Rattus norvegicus: one gene and its partner. The protein of the gene in region 2 binds, or shares a complex with, the protein of the main gene of each other region. Links are inferred from orthologs where the notes say so. Each region holds a gene or a part of one and is shown on either strand. Other genes may lie near its edges.

Region 1 (4,499 bases), on a different chromosome or scaffold from region 2:
GTTTTGGAGACAGAGCCTCATTATGTATCCTTGTCTAGCCTGGATGTGTAACCCAGGCTAGTCTCAAGCTCAGGAAATTTGCCTGTCTGTCTGTCTCATGTGTACTGGGATTAAAGGATGCAGCACTGTAACCAGCATCTACAACATAAGGAATGGGCTCTGGTACAGCTTTTCTTTTTGCTACTTTGTGGGTTCTTCAAACAATGTCTTCTCTGACTGAACTCAGCACTGTCTTTTCTTTTCTTTTTTTTTTTTTTCGGAGCTGGGGACCGAACCCAGGGCCTTGCGCTCCCTAGGCAAGGGCTTTACCGCTGAGCTAAATCCCCAACACCAGCACTGTCTTTTCTAACCCTACCCCTATGATGATTTCCCCCAAAGACCTCCTTCAAGAATAGCGTCAAGATCAAGCTGGAAACTTGCTGAACCCGAGAATCCAATTTCCAGAGGAGCAATACAGCCTCAAATCAATACCAGGAACACACACACCAGGAATGCCAGTACTTGGTATGTAAGTCAGAAAGATCAAGGTTATGCTTGGCTATATAGCAAGTTCAAGGCCAGCCTAAGATGTGAGCATCCTGTCTAAGAAAATAAACACAACCTCAACCAGTCAGGCACAATGGCATGGTGGCAGAGACAAAAGATTCCATGCTCCAGATCAGCCTAAGAGACAGTAAGATCCCGTCTCCAAAACAAAGACCTCAAACCAAACAGGGCTAGAGATGCAGCTCAGCAAGAGAAAGTAAACTAGGACACCAGCTGTCACAGCCTCAATGGGTAGCCTGCATCAAGACACTGGTATCTAGAAGTCATGGCTTCCTACTCTGTAAAAAGAAAGAATCATTTGAGAAACAGAGACAGATGGATCTCTGAGTTCAAAGCCAGCTGGGGCTACATGGGCAGACAGACAGACAGACAGGCATACACACATAACTCTCCCAGCCTCACAGGACTAGTGGGCAAGAGTGAGGACCAGGCTACTGTCTACTAAGAGGGTGGAAGCCACACTGAAACAGTTTCCAGAGGAGCCGGAACAAGCCTCAACTATTGCCTACACATTTACTCCTACCCTGCTCGACTACTCCTCACTGTGTTCTGTCAGCTGGTCAAGAATATATCTTTCGGGCTGGAGAGATGGCTCAGTGGTTAAGGGCACTGACTGCTCTTCCAGAGGTCCTGAGTTCAAATCCCAGCAACCACATGGTGGCTCACAACCATCTCTAATGGGATTCAATGCCCTCTTCTGGTGTGTCTGAAGACAGCTACAGTGTTATTCATATAAATATAATAAATAAATACATCTTTAAAGAAAAAAAAAAGAATATATCTTTCAAGGTCTACCCTAAGAAGCACCTGGGTCACCCGGTGGTGGTAGCACATGTCTTTAATCCCAACACTTGGGAGGCAGAGGCAAGTGGGTCTCTTGAGTTCAAGGCCAGCCTGGTCTACAAAGTGAGTTCTAGGACAAGGCAAGGTTACAAAGAGAAACCCTGTCTCAGAAAAAACAAAAACAAAAAACGCCCCCCTCCCAAGCTTCAATCTTTGAATACACCGTTATTGTCCTTTCCAGCATAAAAACACCATCTCATAACTTAGAGTACCCAAACACCGTGCTGAGTTCACTTCCAGCTCAGATTCACTGAATGGTCACAACCATTTTACTGAACACAACTTGTTCCACTTTGTTGAGTCCTAGACATTTCCAAGTCACCACCTAGAGTGCCAGCGCTCAGATTCAAAGCCACAGTCATTGCACCCCCAAACTGGGATGCTGATTTACAACTTCCTCTACTTCCCAGAAAACACTGCCTCTCTCCATATCCTCATCACTGTTTCTTGGCTTCACTTTCTGAGCCAGAGTCTCATGTGGTGGCCCTGACCTAGCTGAGGATAACCCTAAACCCCTCATTCTCTCTTTGCCTCCCAAGTGCTTAGGATTACTACTGTGTTGAGGCTGTGATCTGTATTTTTTTTTAATCTTACTTTTTTTAAAAGGCCTCAACTCAGTAAACCAAGCTAGTCTAAGACTCATTATGTGCTATTCTAGCTTATTAATTGTTTTCCTTGGGATCTTAACTGAACACAAAATTGGCTCGACTTCATCTTCCAGAATAACTAAAAGGATCTGTAGTCAGAGAACTGGCTTCAGATTCCACTCCTTCCTTGCTGGTACTTTTGAACAATTGTAGTCCTTGTTTGTTAAACTGGACACGAAACTACTTTCTCTTTTAAGGATTGATGAGATTGAGAGACTTTCGCAAATCACGTTTTGTTTTCTTGCCTTGAACGAGCTCCTCATTCTTCAAGACATGTCCCAAAACTCAGCCCCTCCAAGAAACTTTCTCTTTCGCCCCAGCAGAGCAAGCCGTTTTCCCTGAGTTTCCTAGAACTTCCTGCCACTCGCTCTTACTCCACTAGAAACACACATATAGCCGACCCCATGGTTCCTGGTGGGAAGTGGCTCTTGGGACATCTCTCCGGGAACGCTTCCGGGATATGACAAACCCTAAGTTCTCAGCTGAGTTCGCCCAGACGAAACCCCTGAGCCACGGGTTGGCCTCCCTCCTGCGGGCTTACCTGGCCTTAGCGCACAGGGCCTTGACTTCGCTCTCTTTGATAAGTTCGCAGCGCCGCAGCTGCTCGATCTGCCGGTCCAGGTCGCTGATTTCCGCCATGGCCCACCCCCCGGCGCGGGTCAGAGTCGGGGCTGGCGCCCCCTCCGGACCGCACAGGGGTCTCCTGGGAAAAGCGAAGGCGAGCCCGCCAATCAGAGGGTCCGTGCGGGAGGGGGGACTCGATTCTGGGACCGCCCCCCCCTCCCCTCACGGCGGTCCAGGACCCTCCGCGTCCCGCTGCCCTGGCCGCACCCCGCCAACTCCCGTCGAACCCCGCGGGCCCGCGCTAAGGACGGTGGCCTAGAGGGGCCTCGGACAATTACCGCCGCTGAGACTCCAGCTGAGTCTCTCAGACTCCCCACTTCCCTCCGCTTTGGGCCTCCGCCACCGCCGCTTCTACTTCCGGCCTCGCTGCGGAAGCAAAGGGAAACCTGTTCTCGCGCGCGCCGGAAGTGACATATACAAGTCACGCCTCTTTCGAGGCATCGGGAAGGAGAAACGAGGGAGCCGGAAGTGGGCGGGCAAAGTGAGCTGGAGGCTAGTATAGCTGTACTTCAGTTATATACACCAGGTCATGTGAGCTCCGGTAGGCTTCTCGCCTCACGTTACAGTTTTCCCTTGGCTGCTTTCTATCTTGCTTCTATTACAGATCTAACGGATAAAACTGCCTTGTTCATCATTGCTTCTCCGGTGTTTAGAGTAAGGCCAAGCATTGCAGATAGGCGTAAATAGTTGTTCAATGAATGGGCCTATTCTAGTCCACATTTCTTGCCACAGTCCCAGAGAAACCTTGCCATGGAGGAACTCCGAACCTGAGCCAGACATGGTAGCACACCTATATGTAATCCCAGAATTTAGGAGGCTAAGGCTGGATCGTGGATTCTAGGCTGTCAAAGCTACAGAGCAAATGAGCAAACAGAAAAAAAAAAAAAACCAAAAAAACAACAAGATTATATGTCTGATAAAAGAACTTGCCACCAAGCCCGACTGACCTGATTTGGATCCCCAGGACCCATATGGTGATGAGAGAAAACACAGAGGTTTAAATTTAATTGGGGGAAAGTGCCCACTCTCTGGACACCAAGCTTGTTTGACTCCCTTAATTCCAAAATAGTTGACATTTTTTTCTTGGCAGGGTTTCACTGTAGCTCAGAATAGCCCAGATTTCACAGCGAATCTCAGCCCAGATGTTAAGCAACCACACCCAGCATTACTTCCTATTGCCTGAACATATTCCTTGAAGGTGGCAATGGATGGGTTCAAAGACTAGCTTGCTCACGTCAACCAAGGTTCAAACATGAATCCAGGAAAAGTGGTTTTTCAAGCCTGGCTTTCACGTTTCATTTACTGTTGCTGAAACTCAAAATATAAGACCCTGACACTCTCCAAATTCACAGTACATGTACTCCTCTTCCTTCTCTTTGCCTTTTGCTGTAGGCAGAGTAGGTTATTAATCTCTTCTGCTCACCATATTCCTCAATATTCTATTGTCCCTCTTAATTTTGAACAGTTTTATGTGCTTTAAGATCGTCTTTTAAGGGGTGGGAGAGATGGCTCAGTGGTTAACACTGGTTGCTCTTCTAGCCAACCACCCAGGTTCAATTCCCAGCACCCACATGGCAGCTCACAATTTTAACTACTGGTCAGGGGATACAACACCCTCACATATTCATAGTTAAAATAATAATGTACATAAAATAAATTTTTGAAAAGATTGTCTCATAGAAGCTAAGGAGTAATTAGAACATGTTCATTCCAGTACTTGGGAAGCAGAGGAAGGCGGATCTCGAGAGTTCAAGGCCAATGTGGCCTACAGAATTCTAGACAGCAAGGCTAACTAGGGACTTAATTTTTCCTTGCAGTGCTGGGAGGGAACCAGAGCCT
Region 2 (3,812 bases):
TTTATAAATTAGCTCAAGTCACAATGAAATTGTATAATTCACTTTAACTCATGTATCTGAAATGGCTATGCATTTTGTGTGTGTACACATACATACAGACACAAGAATTCTACAAAGGAAGTCTGTTTATCCTGCATATACCCAGTTCAAAAATAAATCTTATGCAACATATAGCAAACATAACATGTGGCTTTTTCCTGGTGCTTACTTTCTTAAGAGTCCTAACTAAACTCATAGTGACCAGGCACGCATGTGGTAAATAACTAAGGTGCATGGTCAAGATAAGTCTCCTTCCATTCCAGAGCCAGGGAAAACTAATGTGACGAAACACACCAAGCATAGCATCTCCTGGAAAAAGTAGTTTTATTAATAGACCCAATATCAAAGCATAAGCTTCTGATATCGTAGGCAAACCCCTAAACTTAAAATAATAAGCAGCTGAGAATGTTGGTACACACCTTTAATCCCAACAAAGGATAAAGAGGCAAGTGGATCTCTGTGAATCCAAAGCCAGTCAGGGCTACATAGTAAATAAGACCCTGTTCCAAATACCAGCCCCCAAAACAATCAGGCTATTTATGGATTAAAAACATAGAATTAAAACTTCTTCACAAAACCTACCAGTAAGCAGGAACTTTATTAACATAAACCAAGTCACTGTATTTCATACTGTTATCACACACTTCAAATCGCTAGTGCCAATGCAGTGTGCTCAGCAGTTCACCCTCACAAACGCGTCATCGTCCCTTGAGGACGTAAACACGATACTGTGAAGCACAGCGACGCTGTTATAGCATCACACTCATTTAGTGCTCCTGGTGTTTTGAATGTTTTACAAAAGGTTAAAAGTGTTGAGTTATTGGAAGAAAGGAAAACACATAAACTCTAAAATAAACCTCTTATAAATAAGTCTTCACCAAGTATCAAGATAATAGTAAATAAACAAAAGAAATATTAAAACATAATTTGATATAGGATATCACTGCTAACACGCATGTTTAAAATCTGAACACCCTCGAAATTCATAAGAACAGTTCGAGTTTTTTTCAAGGTTGTAAACATTTAAAATATTTATGAACCAAAATTTGGCAAACACTAAAGATAAAAGTCAATTATCAATCTGATATAGCAAAACTTAAGAAAAAAAATATTTGTTGTTAAAATTAACTCTTGAAAATATTATCACTATCATTATGTGCATACCCATTAAATCCAGTGACAATTTTCAGTATTCTTTCCTTCATTTCATCAAAGGGAATATATTCAACATTAGGATTGGGAGGACCTCTTGGTTCAGGAGCTGAAGTTCTAAAATCATCCATCACTTTCTCCAGTTTGAAAATGAAATAGCCTTTAAATTGGGACCACTGAATCCTATAAAAAAAAGTCACAAAATATTAATAATTACTTAACACTAAACACACAAATCAGACATTATAAATGCGTTCATAATTTTCATACTATAATGCTTATATGGACTAGGAAAGTCTCTTACCACTACAAGTACAGAATATGCCAGGTTTAGTGGTATACACCTATAATCCCAGCACTTGGGAGACTAAGGCAGGGGGATCTCTAAGAGTTTATGGGCAGTTTTGTCTACAATGTAAGTGCCACACAGTGAGATCTTGACTCAAAAATATAGACAAATAACTACATTAAGCCAAAATAACTTTAATTTCACCCCCACTCCTTACACTTTCAGTCAATTGTCATTTGAGGTACTCAGGGTGCTGGTCCTAGCCTGTCTGACAAAGTAAGTAAAGCACACAACTGCCTAAGCTAGGAAGAAGAGCTCAAGCATGAGGACAAGAGGTTGGATTCCCAGAACCAGGTACCAGGTACCAGGTAGGTACCAGTGCTTAGGTGAAGACGGGATCCCTGAAGCCAGCTCACTAGCCTGACAAGCTATGAGCAAGCTCTGGGTTTAACAAGAGACACTGACTCTACTGAACAAATATGGTAGAGAAATCAATTCCAACGCCATCTTTAGATACACATGCACACAAGCACACAAATATTGCATGGGGAAAATATGCATTTTCCATCTCTATTCATTGTTACGTGGCAATTTCCTCTAAGATAAAATGCTCCATCTTTGAAGGAAGCTGTTCAGACTCAGGAAATTAAGGAATGCCCGTAAGACCCAGTCAGTAAACAACTCAGCTGTTTCATAAGGACCTGGGATCCTGACACTGACCAACTCCCTGCAACCTGCTTTCCCAAGCTTATATAATCTGTAAGAACTGTTACTTTTAGTACGTATGGGTATTTTGTCTGAATGTTTGCCTGTAAACTTTCTGGGTGCCTGGTGCCCAAAGAGGCCAGAAGAGGGTGTCAGATTTCCTGAAACTGAAGTTTTGCTGACAGTTGTGAGTTGCCATATGGGTGTCAGGAATCAAAACTCAGGTCCTCTGGAAGAGCAACAAGAATTCTTAACCACTAAGCCATCTCTCTAGCACTGTCTCACTCCAAGGCCACAGTGCCTGGAAGACACTCCCTCTGACATGCTTGGCTAACTACAAGCAGCACAGTACATTCCTCATTTCCAGTTCCCCCGTAACCAGCTACCCATCCCAGAGTGAGCTTTTGGTGAAAAAGCATTTCTGTTCTTGTAAGAAACCCTTCATCCACACTTCTGTAAGGACCATCAGTGCATTTGAATACTTGGTCTTTAGGGAGTGATTCCACTTGACAGGATTTAGGAAGTGTGGCCTTGAGGGAGTAGGTGCAGCCTTGCTGGCAGAAGTATGTCACTGGGGATGGGCTTTGGAGTTTCAAAAGCTCCAGCCAGGCCCAGTGACTGTCTCTTCCTTGCTGCCTGTAGATGGTGACATATAGCTTTCAGTTCCTTCTCTAGCACTCTGCCTGCCTGCGTGCCATCATGCTAATAATGGATAAATTTCTAAACCAGTGTTCTCAACTTCTGAGTCCAGACCCCTTGGGGACTAAACATCCTTTCACAAGGGTCCAGTCAGCTAAGACCATCAGAAAACAGATGTTTACAACTCATAACAGTAGCAAAATTACAGCTATGAAGCAGGAAGAAAACAATTTTATTGTTGGGGAATCAGTTTTACATGAGGAACTGTATTGAAGGGTCACAGCACTAGAAAAGTTAAGAACTACTACCTAAAGTGTAAGTGTAAGCAAGCCCTAAATACTTTCCTTTATAGGAATTGTCATGGTCTTGGTGTCTTTCACAGCAATAGAACATTGACTAAAACAACCAGTAAATGTAAACGGAGCCAGTGCTCACCAAGCTGGACTTTGGTGGCGGTATCCTTTACTTAGGTCTGACACTGGTTCCTAATCAAGCATGAGTCAAGGTTCGTTCATATCCCCTAGGAATAGAACCAGACCTTTTTATCCTCCCCTTACGCTTCACCATTAGTGTAAGAAAAAAAGTAAAGACGATACCTGAGCAAACAGTCTAAGTTCTAGGAGACACAAAAGTTAGGGGTAGCTCCTATTTTCTTGTGCAGACAGAAATTTCATGTAAGTTCACTGTTTAATATAATTATAAAAAACAGCAATAATTCGCAATGGCATACATAAAAATGCTAGACATACAACTCTCTAGCAGTACTGTAAACTACGAAAGTAGCATAGATCATTCATCCATACTTCTATAAGTAAGTGATTCAAGAGAGTAAGGCTTGAATCAGGAGTCAGACATCTTTACTGTGCTGACAATGTACTAATAATGACCCTAAAAGCAATGATGGATGAACTGATGACAACGTAACAGCAATCCAGAAGCACATCAAACTGCACTAACAGCACTTAGGTTTGTTTTGTTCTTTTAAATC

What was found.
Region 1: Ppp4r2 (region 2) and Ppp4c share a complex: the UniProt entries of both Homo sapiens proteins name them as parts of the PP4 complex. The link is inferred for Rattus norvegicus from reciprocal best matches to the Homo sapiens genes PPP4R2 and PPP4C.

What each region holds. Positions count from the first base shown.
Region 1 is NC_086019.1:190,827,158-190,831,656, forward strand, and holds the start of Ppp4c (serine/threonine-protein phosphatase 4 catalytic subunit), read right to left. Parts: upstream 3,091-4,499; 5' UTR 2,939-3,090; intron 2,905-2,938; exon of another isoform or gene 2,740-2,904; 5' UTR 2,676-2,739; coding exon 2,578-2,675; intron 1-2,577. UniProt on the Homo sapiens protein: Protein phosphatase that is involved in many processes such as microtubule organization at centrosomes, maturation of spliceosomal snRNPs, apoptosis, DNA repair, tumor necrosis factor (TNF)-alpha signaling, activation of c-Jun N-terminal kinase MAPK8, regulation of histone acetylation, DNA damage checkpoint signaling, NF-kappa-B activation and cell migration.
Region 2 is NC_086022.1:135,031,186-135,034,997, reverse strand, and holds part of Ppp4r2 (serine/threonine-protein phosphatase 4 regulatory subunit 2), read right to left. Parts: intron 1,375-3,812; coding exon 1,204-1,374; intron 1-1,203. UniProt on the Homo sapiens protein: Regulatory subunit of serine/threonine-protein phosphatase 4 (PP4). May regulate the activity of PPP4C at centrosomal microtubule organizing centers.